Linked DNA regions of Xenopus tropicalis. The protein of the gene in region 2 purifies or fractionates together with the protein of the main gene of each other region. This does not show direct contact. Links are inferred from orthologs where the notes say so. Each region holds a gene or a part of one and is shown on either strand. Other genes may lie near its edges.

The links.
Region 1: the proteins of asb1 (region 2) and cul5 purify together in Homo sapiens (affinity purification with mass spectrometry; 6 studies listed by BioGRID and IntAct, counting the BioPlex papers as one, with this or other methods). This does not show direct contact. The link is inferred for Xenopus tropicalis from reciprocal best matches to the Homo sapiens genes ASB1 and CUL5.

The regions. Positions count from the first base shown.
Region 1 is NC_030678.2:159,946,320-159,953,636, forward strand, and holds part of cul5 (cullin-5), read right to left. Parts: intron 6,831-7,317; coding exon 6,766-6,830; intron 6,442-6,765; coding exon 6,309-6,441; intron 5,704-6,308; coding exon 5,572-5,703; intron 5,374-5,571; coding exon 5,250-5,373; intron 4,372-5,249; coding exon 4,196-4,371; intron 3,649-4,195; coding exon 3,487-3,648; intron 3,229-3,486; coding exon 3,110-3,228; intron 2,296-3,109; coding exon 2,172-2,295; intron 1-2,171. UniProt on the Homo sapiens protein: Core component of multiple cullin-5-RING E3 ubiquitin-protein ligase complexes (ECS complexes, also named CRL5 complexes), which mediate the ubiquitination and subsequent proteasomal degradation of target proteins.
Region 2 is NC_030685.2:60,744,557-60,751,168, reverse strand, and holds part of asb1 (ankyrin repeat and SOCS box protein 1), read right to left. Parts: intron 4,628-6,612; coding exon 4,486-4,627; intron 2,485-4,485; coding exon 2,182-2,484; intron 1,466-2,181; coding exon 1,044-1,465; intron 9-1,043; coding exon 1-8. UniProt on the Homo sapiens protein: Probable substrate-recognition component of a SCF-like ECS (Elongin-Cullin-SOCS-box protein) E3 ligase complex which mediates the ubiquitination and subsequent proteasomal degradation of target proteins.

The DNA.
Region 1 (7,317 bases), on a different chromosome or scaffold from region 2:
ACCACCATTGGACGTAATAGACCTGTGCTGCTAGGAAGTAAAATTGCCAATGTGGGAGACCTAGACCGCCTTCCGTGATTGGTGCTCTAAGTTTGGCTCTGGAAAATCTGGGAGGTTTGTTGGCCCACAGAAAGGCAGTCTGTGCTTTATCTAGAGGGGCAAAAAATTTGGGTGGAATGGAAATAGGTGAGTTGTGGAGAATATAGAGAAATTTAGGAAGGAATATCATTTTTAACAGACTGATTCTACCCCAGATGGATAAGGGGAGATTGGCCCACACCAGCAGCTTCTCTTTCATGGCTTTAAGAATGGGGTCTAAGTTGTTGGGGATGAAGTCGCTCAGCTCTTTTCTTATTTGGATACCCAGGTATTTAAATGTGTCAACCCACTGCAAGGGAGTAGGAGGGAAGATATTTGGATCAATATTTGAGTCTATGGGGAATACGCTGGATTTTTCCCAATTGATTCGCAGGCCGGAGAAGTCCCCAAAGTTTTGGACTATGCCTAGGACTGTCTGTAGTGAGGCACCAGGGGAGTCCAAATACAGTAAAACATCATCAGCATATAAAGATATGCGTTCCTCCACAGCCCCCAGTTTGAGACCTGTTATGGCTGCAGAGTGTCGGATCAGAATGGCAAGGGGCTCTATTGCTAGGGCAAATAGGAGAGGTGACAGTGGGCAACCTTGCCGGGTACCTCTAGCTAGAGAGAACTCTGGGGATAGGTGTCTATTTACCATAACCTTTGCTGTTGGTGCTTCATATAGCATTCCCACCCATTTAACAAACTGCTCACCCAGGCCAAACCTCTCAAGGAGTTTCAGGAGATAGGGCCATTCGACGGAGTCGAAGGCTTTGGCTGCGTCAAGTGAGACTACTACACGGGAACCTTTGTTGGTGTGGTCGGCATGGATATTAGTGAACAGCCTACGGATGTTTATATTGGTGGATCTGTTTGGCATAAAGCCTGTTTGGTCAGGCTCAATTAGTTCCTCAACTACTAGTTTCAGTCTGTTAGAGAGGATTTTTGCAAAGATTTTTGCATCTACATTGAGGAGGGAGATAGGTCTGTAAGAGCCGCACTCCAATGGGTCCTTACCATCTTTGGGGATGACCACAATAAGGGCCGTGTTAAAGGAGCGAGGTAGTTTATTATTTTCTGTTGCGTCAAGCAAAGTTTTGTGGAGCCAGGGGGAGATAAGTTCTGCAGATGTCTTATACCAGTCAGCAGGGAATCCATCTGGGCCTGGTGTTTTATTGAGTTGAAGCGAGGTTATTGCCTCCTCTACCTCCACTAGTGTGATGGGACTGTTGAGTTGGGCCCTAAGTAGTAGGGATAATCGGGGGATGGGGATGGTATCCATGTAGTTTGATAGCTGCAGTGGGGTATAGTTGGCTTCAGTGGTGTAAAGCTGTTTGTAGTATTGTGCAAAGATATTGGTTATGTGGGATACCTCAGTAATTATGTCCCCATTCATGGATGTGATCTTAGTGATGGTGTTCGAAGGGGCTTGGGCTTTGGAGAGATATGCAAGGATTTTGCCATTTTTTTCCCCTTGATCAAACGTTCTCTGCGTAGCATAAAGCAGCTTTTTCTGTGTTAGTTTAATTCTGGTCTCTTCTAATGCGGTTTGTGCCGCCCTAAAAGTACGTAGGGTGTCTGGGCCTGTATGGATAATGTATTGTTTCTCTGCTTCCGTTAGGTTATTTTGTCTCTCCTCTAGTTCCTCTTTTGCCTTTTTCCTGACCCCTTTAATTGCGGAGGTGAGGGCACCCCTAAGGGTGGCTTTCCCAGCCTCCCACACTACATCAGTAGGGGCAGTTCCAGGGTTTAACTCCCAAAATTCTTCTAGAGCCCTATTGTTAGTTTCTTTAACACTTTCATGTGTTAACCACAGGGGGCTAAGTCCAGTGACTTCCTTTTAACTCTAGCTGTACTAACTATACAACTGTGTACTCACAACAGCTGAACATTAAAGATGCCATACTGGCAGAATCAGTCCAACTATCATAAAAGTCTATGGTGGGGTATTTTTTTCTGCTTTACTCCCCCCTTCCTATGAGCTAGTAAATAGCACAGGGAGCAAAACGTGCCAGCACCTCTGCCCTAAATGTCAGTGTTGGACATGGCTCCCTTTGTGACTCCCATCTAATAGCCAGGACATACTGTACCTGTGTCCTTAATATCCTTAGCTGCACAATGCCTTCATTCTCTTCTTCTCGCATCCTTTCCGTGGTCAGCTGCAAGCGGCCGATTAAGTTGATCTTACCCCGTTTCTGAACCTTTCCATTTTTTCTAGGATTAGAACACACAGTCATGATGAAGTGATAAAACAGTAGCACTTAGTGATTCATTGGGAGCACCTTCCTGTCTAACTGTGCCAGATTGTGGGTAAAGGGAAGAGTGGGGGATTCCAATTATTGTGCTAGTGCAAAAGCACGTTTTACCACCACTTTCCTGGACATTCCCATTATAGGCCACAAATGACTGACAAAGCCAAAGGTAACATAAGGCCATGGAGCCACAAAGTCACCACTCAAGAGTTTCTGCTTGTAAGGGTTTGATCACATTTAGGGAGGGCTAGGCAGGAGATAAGGTTATGGCCAACCTGCCTATTGAAGCTGGCAATATTGGTCCCTTGGACTGATTCTGCAGCTTAAAAAATTCAGTCTGATTGGGGACCGCATCGGCTCGCCTATTCCAGTCATTATAATTCGATCGCTTGGCCCCAGGGCCAAACAACCAAATTAGCCTAAATTCCCCGATGTTGCCCATCCGTAGGTGGGGATATCGGGAGAAGAGCCACTCGCTTGGCGACCTTGCCAGGCGAGCAGATCTTTATGTGTATGGCCACCTTAAGAACAAGAGAAGCTTTTACAGAGCTGAACCTGGCAGATTGACACAGAAGCTAGGGGAAACAGTTTATAATGTACCTATGGATATCTGCATTAGACAAAATAAAGGTAAAGTTGCCCTGTAAATGAAAGCCGGAGCAGTGCAAGTAGAATGCTTATAGATCCACCCAAGGTGCACAGACATTCAGCAGTGTTTAGTGAAGCAGCTATTAAACAAGATACCAAGCAGCATTAAACATGTAAACATGACTTACATTAGGCTGAACTCCTGATTTACAGAGAAGAGGGTACCCTCTGTGAAGTCTTTTGGGGAATTTACCGTCGGTTCATAGGATAATACTTGGCGTTTCAGCTTTGGAAATGCTACAAGAGACTAAACAGAGAAAATGAAACAATTGTAAGCAGTTATGCCAAGGGCAACCCAAAATCTAGTCAGCCTTGGAGTGCCTCTGCCCCTATACAGTCTGCAATTTACTGAACAGGCCCCCAGGTGATTAAGAACCAAACACTTGGATCCCACATAGAACACGTACATGGCAATGATTTGGCTGGCTTACCATGCAACAACTCACAGCCATGCAGGTTCAGTTTAGCCAATGACACACACCGATACTAACACATTTACACTTACCCACAGAGTTCTCCTAAGCTCAGCATCAGGTAACTCTGTTGCCAGTTTAAGATTTTCAAAGCTGATTTTTTCTCTCGGCCTTTGGTTCCAAGCAAACAGAACTGCCAGCTGGAAAGTGGTAACTTCCAAGTCGTACTGGCCAACCTCATTCTTAAATGTTATCTGTAAAACAGTGGCGTGCCATCCAGTTCAACATTACAGGACTGGTCCATTATACAAAGAGAGAGAGAGATTCTGAAAAAGCACCAAAAACTTTGCAATAACAAATTACACCCTAATGATCTGGCTGACTACTTTGAGACTCAAATAAAATGTAACAGTAGTTGCCTGTCCTCAGGCTGCCTTTAGCCTGCTTCCTCCCAATCCCACAATTCCCTGCACATGTGATGTCAATAAGGAAAGGAAAATCACAGTGCAATGCATTGTGGGTTATGTAGTTCCTGCAAGCTGTGGAGAAGTTGTTACCATTTGTAACGTCAATGTTTTAGCCCCTCCTCCCCTGCCAGGATTTCAAATGATGCAGAAAGAAAGAACTTTTTTGCAGCTGGATTTGAACATAAAAAATTGAATTTATTCATAATTTTTAAAGGAACCGATTACAGTGATTTACTAGGAATTTCTGTGTTTTTTTTCTTTTTTTAAGTGCTTTATACATGGAAAGCCCTTAGCAACTCAATTCACTAATATGCCGTGCAGAGCAGATACTCACAATGCCATTGGACATAAGATGGTGCCAGTGAAGCTTTCTGCCGCTGTGGTTTTTCTTGTAAAACTCCTCTACTTCAGGAATGAGGTCCTCGAGCTCAGTGGGAAGGGACACAAATACCTTTTCCGAGCTCCGTGACCAAGCACCGGCATTCAAAATTTTAATATTCACAGAGTCAGCTGGCCATAATTAAAAAAAAAAAAAAAAGCAGGTAAATAAAATGCACTGTTGAAGAAGAAGATAGTTAATTAATTTACTCTATCCAGATAAATACCCCGTATAAAGAACTTTTAGTCCTAGTAAGGACTAGACATGTGAAAAGTGCCACACACTGTCAATTTAACAAAAAACCCCCAATACAAGTGCTTACCAGCCTGAAAATGAGGTGTTTTTGGTCCTGATTATGGAAGTGGAAGTAAGGGCAAAAAATAAACAATGGTCATATTTATAATGAGGGTGGGCTCAGCGAGTAGCACTTCGGCCTTACTGGGGTGGGGGCCTTATTTTGATTCCGGCTTGGGCACCATATTCTCCCCATGGGTTTCCTCCATTTATAGAAGGGCCACCACACCAGGATACCCAAGGGAAAATCTCATTTATCGACCCACCCCCCTTCCATGTCGCAACTCTCTCTCCCTTACTCAGCAAGTCTCTTTTTCTTAACATTCTCACCTATTTTCTGGTGCTGCCACTGATCTCTGCTCCACCATTCAGTCAATGGCACAGCTCCTCACTCAGCATACCTGACCCCCAGGGCTGAAGGTAGTGGAGGCAGCAGAGGTATATGCCTAGGGTTCTAGCTCCCCCTCTCAGCTGTGACCTAGGCACGTGCCCCTTCTGCCTACCCCTAGTTCTGGTTTCCTCCCACACCCACAAAAAAAAAAAAAAAAAAAAGAACAGGCAGGTCTTTTGGCTCCTGATAAAACTGATCCTAGTGTCCTAGGGGCATGGCCTTATATGAATGGTATAATCTCTGTAAAGCACTGCAGAAAAGTGTCAGCACAATATAAATACCAGGAAATAATAACAATTGTTTTAAACCCAATTCCAAACTTACCTGGCAGGGCTAATTTATTATTTTTATGCATTTCTTTGAAAGCCTGGTTTAAGTCTTCTGATACTTTGATGTCCTGGAACATTCTGGCTAGTTTATTTACATAATCAGCTGGCATGCCCACCTCCTAAAAGATATACACAACAGAACAAAGAAATGTAGTATGTTACACAGTGAAAGATTCTTGCCCTACAGATATTTACTTTACCAGCGACTAGCTACCTGCAATCAGTCTACTATGGGTTTCCCTAAACTTGCTCCATTTACAGTGCCCACTGTTTGGGCACTGTCTAATGTCAGTTTGAACAGCTCAAGTGATAGTTACCCTGAGCCACTCCACCATGTTTTCTTCTATTTCACTGTCGGCGGAGATATCTAAAATGAGGCGGCGTGTCAGGTGAGCCTTGTGGTACCTCATGAACACATCCTTGTTCTGCACATATTTTAGCACCAACAGCTGCAGGGGAAAACAAATACAGTCCGTTATATTTTTTTTTATTCCAGTAATTAATTTATTCCAAATATGTTTACAGGTAGGAAATCAGAAAAGAACATGTAAATTGAGTTTAACCCATTGTCATTCAATTCTATCGGTCTATTGGTGTTACATCAAGGGTGTAGCTCTTCTATGGTTTTCTGCAGTATAGCACAGTTGTAACCAACACCATCTCTTAACCTGCTGTATAATGATTGGTTTCAGCCCCTCTTACACATATCAGAGAAAGATCTCTCTCCTTCATAACAAGCCTGAGTTGGGAAGGGTGACACGTCATTTTCTTATAGAGTTTTTGCGGCTATGAGCATCTGTGCCACTAGCTTGCTGTTGTCTGGGGGCCTTAGTGAATTAATTGGTTTGCCTAAAAGGTAAGTTGAGTTTCTGCTGTTTCATATTCAGTCTCTATACAGCCTACTTAGTCCTACAGAGCCCGGTAGGTGAAGGAAGCTGGTGTACTGCTCATCAGATGCCAAATGCTGAATAACGTTAAGGTTACCATTTACCTTTGAATGCAACAAAGCCCAAATCATAGTGTAAGAAGGACACAAAATGTGTTCTGTACATACCACTTCCTTCAACTTTGCCTCGATTTCCTCAGAAGTCAGTTTCTTACTGAGTGGCGTTTTCCGTAACAACATATCACAATAGTTAGCGAGCAACTCTGGGCACTTGGACTCCGGCTGTGTTTTCAGACCCACCCTTAAATGAGAAAGAATCCCATAATAAGAATAATGATTGTTACTAACACCACATTTTGGATTTATAGATCCAGGATGCTCCTACCAAAATAATATACATTATATTGTCATAATGGGAAGAGGTACTATGGAACCTTACCTGTACATCAATTTATTTCTAACCCCTGCCCTTATCTCTACCCTTGTCTGAGGATCTATCACGACAGCCCTCGCCTCTCCCAGCTATTCTTAATTTGTTCCTTATAAATAAGTATAACACAAAATCATTTAGCCTGAGAAATATATAAATCAAAGAGAATAACAATTAAAGACACATGTGACTTACCCTTTCTGCTTTAGTGGCAATTCAAGTTTAAATATTGTTGCATCATTTACAACAGCTTTGTATGCCTGAAATAAAGGGAAACAGGGAAAATTTAAACTGGACACTTAATGCTTGGCAGAAATGTAATATTTATTGAATTGGCACACTGGCACAGATCTCTGAAGTCCAATGCAATGATTACACCAGGTTTTATTTTGTATGTATATTTGTGCAGTACATATATTAACAGCTTCTCTAAAGATGCAACAATTTTTCTTTCAGATTTGACCTTATCTCGGTGACACCCTCTTTCTCTCTTTGTCCATAATATAAATCTCATCCCAAAGAACCTATATACCTATTATAGGGCACAACTGAGATTAACGAGCTAGAATGGGTCCACTGAGCACCTATTATCATACAAAATGCAGAAACAGTATCACATATTTATTTCAATTAAACGTCATTAACCTGTAAATCAAATTGCCACAAAAACAGACGTTAAATTGTTTGCACATATATCTACATGTATGCATCTATAAAAGTTATGTTTTAATTGTATCTCTCTTTACT
Region 2 (6,612 bases):
CGGATAACCTAAGGAAGGAAGAGGCACATTTGATATAATAAAAAGGCAGAAATGTCAATCTGATGCTGGTGAAAAAGGTTGGGTAACTGTAGGAGATAGGCAGCAGATATTAAAAAAAAATCACTTGGCATGTTGGTACAGTGAAACAGTATTTTCGGATGACAACCACCTGGCAAATGCTACAGTAACAAGCCATGTGTGGGAAAGAGATTTTCAAAATCCCAAAGTGGTAATACACAGGCCAACCTGGTCCACTCTCCAAATTAATCCATGGGCAGAACAGACAGAGTTATTAGTGGCCACACATGCCACCTTTCTACTGTTCCAGTCATTTGTGTATAGAGAACAAATGGTTGGAAAAGCAGTAAGTGAAGATCAGCTCCTCTTTACATCCTCATTTGCTGATATACCCTGAACCAGTATCCTAAGTACATACATATCAGTGGGGATCCATGTGCCAGCATAGACACACAGATACATAAAGATAAAAGTTAATTTCCTACTATCTGTGCGTATATAGCCTCCTTTAAAAAAAAAAAAAAGGAAAGTTACAATCACTGGGTGGTGCCAAACAAGTTTTTCCAGGAGAAGGGCAAATGATGCTGCCAGATAGGAATTAAGTAAATGATTAAATCTGTTTCTTCCGAAATTTTAATTTAACTTGGCTCATTCAGCAGTATCTCTTGAGGGTGTGGTTACTAGTTATTAGCCCTGACAGTGGTGGGGGCTTCCTTTATAGGGACAATTCATCACCAACTCTTAAATAGCATTGTCCTACAGCAGCAGCAGGCATATGTAGAGAAATTCTGGCACGCAAAGTAAAGGAAATGAATATTTCAGGATATATGTATTTACTCATTATATTATCCATTTTTAAACAATCTAATATTTCGGTTAATTTCTTTGACCTGCAGTTTTTTGTTTGTTTGGCCGCCTGAATGGTTTTCTGCAGCACTGTTTATAAACAGCATTAATAATTCATGGCAATTCCTCCATTTCACTCAAACCTCAACCTAGATTTACACACAGGAGGCCAACCTTACCTTTTGCTTCTTTAAAAAGCTCAAGCGCAGCGGTGTTCACACTTATCCTTGGATGTTCCTCTGCACATGGCTCCCCCCGCACAAGTTTCAGATTTGCCCCAAAGTCAATAAGAAGTTGCACAAATTGCTGATCACATCCATGCCGCAGAACTGCCTCTAGTAAGCAACAAGGTGCCCCTCGTGGAAAGTTCTCCTCTGACACCTTTCCCCAATAGTTATAGTCAGGGTTGGCACCAGCCTGGAGTAACAGGTGGAAGCAGGCTAGATTGTGATACGCTGCACTAATATAGAGTGGGCAGGAGGCCAGAGAAGTCAGCAATCGAGGGGAAGAGTCAGAACCACGAAAAGACAGCTGGTGATCCACATCGACATCAGCACCATACCTGCAAACAGGTGAGAAGGTCACGAGTCCTCCATAAACTCTGTTGGCATTAATATGCATCTTAATACTATGTGTACATATTTGTGTATATCAGAAAACATTAGTGTCATAAGTAATTAGCTGACTATATGGAACAGCCAAATATTCTTTAAAAAAATCAGTACTGTTTAGTGTTCTTTAATTATTACTATTATTTCATGTTTTAATGCTTTTAAAGTTTTATAATGTATAATGCAATAATGTATTTGGGGCATACAGACGCTGTGTGGCCAAGGGAAAATAAGACAGGGATACTAGCTTAAGGTGGCCATACACTGTAAGATCCACTCGTTGGCGAAGTCGTCAAGCAAGGGGATCTCCTCCAGATATGCCCACCTAAGGGTGGGTGCTATCAAGGCTAGTTTGATTATTTGACCCCAGGGCCAAACAACTGAGTTAAAATGGCGTGCATAGGCACCATTGGTTTGTGGACTGCATTAACGAGCCAGTGCCGTCAATGACCCAACAAAAAAATCTACCCTGCCAAAGAGGTGACCTGTGGCAATTCTGCTACCTGCAGAGCACAGAGAAAAGTGTAAAACATGGTCTCTGTCTGTCTTTTAGACTATGCACCCTGTCTTGCATGTAGGGAATGACCCCTTTGGAGAGCACTGTTAAGAGTGGTGTCTATGCAGCCATGTGTTCTATAATTGGATTAAGATTTAGTTGAGCACACCCATACAAATATCATGAAAAATAAAGTTACTGAGCTCTCACTTGATCAACTCTTGCAGTATGTCGGCCCGGCCCACGCGTGCAGCATGGTATATGGGGGAGCTTCTATTGTGAGGACTGCCATTTGGGTCTGCCCCAGCCCTTAGCAGAACTTTTACACATTCCAGGTGTCCATTTTCTGCAGCCACATAGAGAGGGGTCTGTCCCTTCACATCTACCAGCTCCAGCTGTGCCCCAGAGCGGATGAGGAGCTCCACACAATCAGCATGTCCGGCCGTGGCTGCAATGCGCAATGGAGAACAGGGTAGCCAACCGCTACACCACACAGCTCGCTCATCTATACCCCTAGGTTTAACAAAAACATAAAAAACACGAATGCATAAAGGTATACACCCATGAGCCTTTTAAAGTGCATTTGTCCTGCTACTGATTTGCATGCATTAACTGAATGGCAACACAAGTGTTCATTTTAGTCTTCCTTGTGGGCTGTTATTGATGCTGAGTCCAGAAATTCTGCCCAATGATTATGTTCCCATCTATAGACAGAAAGCCAAAAGAATGACTGAAATCTTTTTAGAACCTATAAAGCCTGTGGGTTAGTGCCCTATTTATGTATAGGAATTATAAGAGGAACAGAAGATTCAGCTATTAGTGAGATACAGGACAGAGCAGCTCCTATACCACTGATTTCTCTGTTATGCAGCTTTTGTTATGCAGCTCCCCAACTTAGAACTGAAGCCATTATTCTGAAGGCAGTACTCTGAATGGTGGAATCACATAGCTTCAGTGTTCATATTACTGTTATCAAGTTACCTTCCCCTGCTAATAATGAAGAAGCTACCACTAGGCTTACAAAAAAAGCTCAATATACTATGATCTCATATTTGTATATTTATATGCTTGCTGTATAGCTAGAGAATCAGAGAATTCCTGCTTATAAACAGAATACATTTGCCCTTTAAAGACCCTTGAAATATACTACTTTAGGTTTACATGCTATACATTGAAAGGGAATAGTTAAAACAGAATATTTATTAAAGGAGAACAAAACCCCTTTACACACTTTGCCATAGAAGCCTTCTTCCTGAACCATTGAAATGCCCCAATATTGCCTGCTCCACTGTACCTCATGGTAAGAGCAGTCCAACAGCATCAGTGGCCATTCTCTCTATATGCTTGACTTCCACTCTCAGGCCTTTTGGCAGCAATCGCCAACCAGGAGCATGCACATAAAGTTGAATTCTGGACTAAATCAGGCTCAGCTGCTCATGTTTCTGGTCACCAGCAGGCCTGGGAAAGGAATTCAAGTAGCCAGTGATGCTGGCTGGCAACTGCCCTGGGCTACTCCGCCTGTTGTCATGAGTTAGGCCATACTGAGGCATGATGGTGCTGCGATTCAGGAGGAGGGAGGGAGGGCTATGCATAAATGGGTTTTGTTCTCTTTTAGGCTAAAATTATGGTAAAAGCTAAGGTTCTGCTGCATGGTGTGTCTTCTATAATAACAGAGCTACACTCATGTACATGTCTGACATTTCATTACACTCAGAAAACAAAACGTGTATAATGTGGGCAGGTAAATGAGACACCAGATATTCAGTGACTCTCTACCAGCATTTTGTGTAGTATTTCCAGTGCATGTTCATTACAAGTCAAATGGGGTAACATAATGGGGCTTATTTGCGACCCTGGGGGATGCAAGTATGTGCCCCCTGGCATTCATTTAGCAGTACTTGCTGGGCTTGCTTCTCTTTGCATGGAGTCTGATCAAAAATCCAGCACTCCATGCAAAAAGCAGCATCAGGTGGCGCACTCCAGCCCTGTCCTCAATGCCTGCCTTAGAGTAGGCAATAAGGAAAGGGGCCGTATGCCAGCTGTGCCTCTAGCTGCTCCATACCCAAGCTCGAAGCAGGCCTGGACTGGGATTCAAAACAGTCCCTGGTATTTTAAGTACACTGGGACCCAAACCCAATAAAGCCCAATAAATAGCGACAGCAGCCCGTCTGACATTTGCCAGAATCCACAGATTGCCACTCTGGGCCTGACCGGAAGTGGTGGCTAATTTTTCAGCCCAAACTTGACCTGTAAGCCTGTACATTCACCCTTTGATGAAGAATAAATAACTTTTCTGTTTTCATGTTCCATTTTTAAGGCTACATTTCAATTTTCTTTAAATAGATTTACAGCATTACAGTGTGACACTGGGAGGACAACAAGCACCCCTCTGCCCTTCTGGTGAGAGGCAGAAAATAAAAAAGCCAGTTATGTATTGGTTAGAAAACAGGCAGCTTTTCTTGTTGTTTTCATGCACACAGATTCAAGCACTGCTGCTCCTTTCATGGTGTTTACCTTAGAAACCTCTCATCTTGCAGAAGGCTCCTTAGCGTGTCAATATCCCCCACACAGGCTGCATTGTGCAAACGTGTATCCTGGCATTGCTCCAATGGGTGATCACAGTACTTGTCCTGCAACCATGCCTTCAGGCTCCGCCCTGCACACAGCAAAATATTAACATATAATCTGAGTATACGACTGACACTCATTAGTGAAAATACAGTGATCACTAAAAAAAAACAAAACATATATTTGGAGGTTTTTAATTATAAATGTTAAAGGAATTCTGACACGATTTTTATGGTTTTTTATTTCTAAATTACACTGTTTACATCGCAAATAATTCACTCTGCCATTTAAAATTTTATTCTTGAACCAACAAATGTATATTTTTTAGTTGTAATACTGGTGTTTATGCAGCCACCTCAGTGCGTTGTGCCTGAATCTGAGCTGTCAGAAGGAGCCAGCGCTATACATTAGAACTGCTTTCAGGTAACCTATTGTTTCTCTTACTCAATGTACTGTCCGTATGATCCAAGTCACATAATAGCAAATAGGGTTTCTCCTGATTGGATGCTATTCTCATGTCTACACTAGGTAGGGAAACCTGTTCGTTTTTTTTTTTTTGGGGGGGGGGGGGTGATATCACTTAAGCTTGCAGCAGTAAAGTGTAACTGAAGTTTATCAGAACACAGGTCACATGGCTGTGGCACCCTAGGAAATTAAGAATATGGCTAGCACCATGTGAAATTTAAAAATTACATATCAAAAAATCTGTTTATACTGTAATAAAATGCATTTCTGTGCAAAATTCTCCTGATGAGTTTTGAGAGTATTCCTTTTACTACATTGCCACTAACTGTTCTTGTGGAGTTGCAGTCCAACTATTCCCTAAATAGGGGGAGGAGATTTCAGGAAATGGCATTTGCTGAGTGGGATTGGGCAGGGCTATATTTTCTAAGGAACCATTCCCAGCAGCCTAGGGTACTGTTCAAGATAGTGCCATCTCCCTTTCTCTGGGACATGCACAGAAGGGCAGAGACAAAGAGCTGTATGATCTAAATCCAACAGTTACTCTGGTAAGGACATTTTGGTAAAACTTCGGGAAGGGCCAGACTAGCAATCAGCAGATTTGGGCAAATGCCAGAGGGGCTGCTCTAAGATGCCATAGACAGTCACTCTTTATTGGGCCTGTGGGGACTGTTTGGGCCTCTGTACTGGAAATGCCAGGGCCTATTTTAAAGACTGTCTCTGGGGACTTCAGTCTGGTTTATTGGGGTGATACTGGGTGAAACATGAAGGGAAAGAAAATGCATTCATTTTTCAAAAGGAAATTAAAAAAAAAAACAAAAAACTGGCACCTTACACAGGTATCGGACCCCTTATCTGGAAACCCATTATCCAGAAAGTTCAGAATTACGGAAAGGCCATCTCCCATTGACTCCATTTTAATCAAATAGTTCACATTTTTAAAAATGGTTTCCTTTTTCTCCATAATAATAAAACAGTACCTTGTACTTGATCCCAACTAAGATATAATTAATCCTTATTAAAGGCAAAACAATCCTAGTTGGTTTAATTACTGTTTAAATATTTTTTTTTTTTTTTTTTTAGCAAACTTAAGGTAGGAGATCCGAATTACAGAAATACCACTTATCCAGAAAACCCCAGGTCCCGTGCATTCTGGATAATGGGTCCCATACCAGTAGAAGCACTGAGCTTGACAGATGCTTGGGGCCTGGCTGGGCACGGCCCTTGTAATGACACCAGGACTGATAATGTATTAGCTGCAGATGCAAGTCAGATAGGGGACTCCACCATATTCCCCTTATACATAGAACATTCCAAAAAAAAAAAAAAAAAAAGGTACTCTGGTATACTCTGGACTTATTTCACGCAAAAATGAAAACACACAAATAAGTGCTTTGTTTTTTTGCATGAAATAAGGTGAGTGCATCATAGAACTCTTTTTTGATTCTTATTTTCCAGAATCTGAGAAATCCCCTCAGGAACTGGGCAGAGTATGGGCAGGGTATGGGCAGGGTATGGGCAGGGTATGGGCTGTACCCTTGTATAACTGCACATTACTGTAGGTGGGGAAGGAACCCTCATTTACTACTGTTCTACCTGTCAGACCAGCAA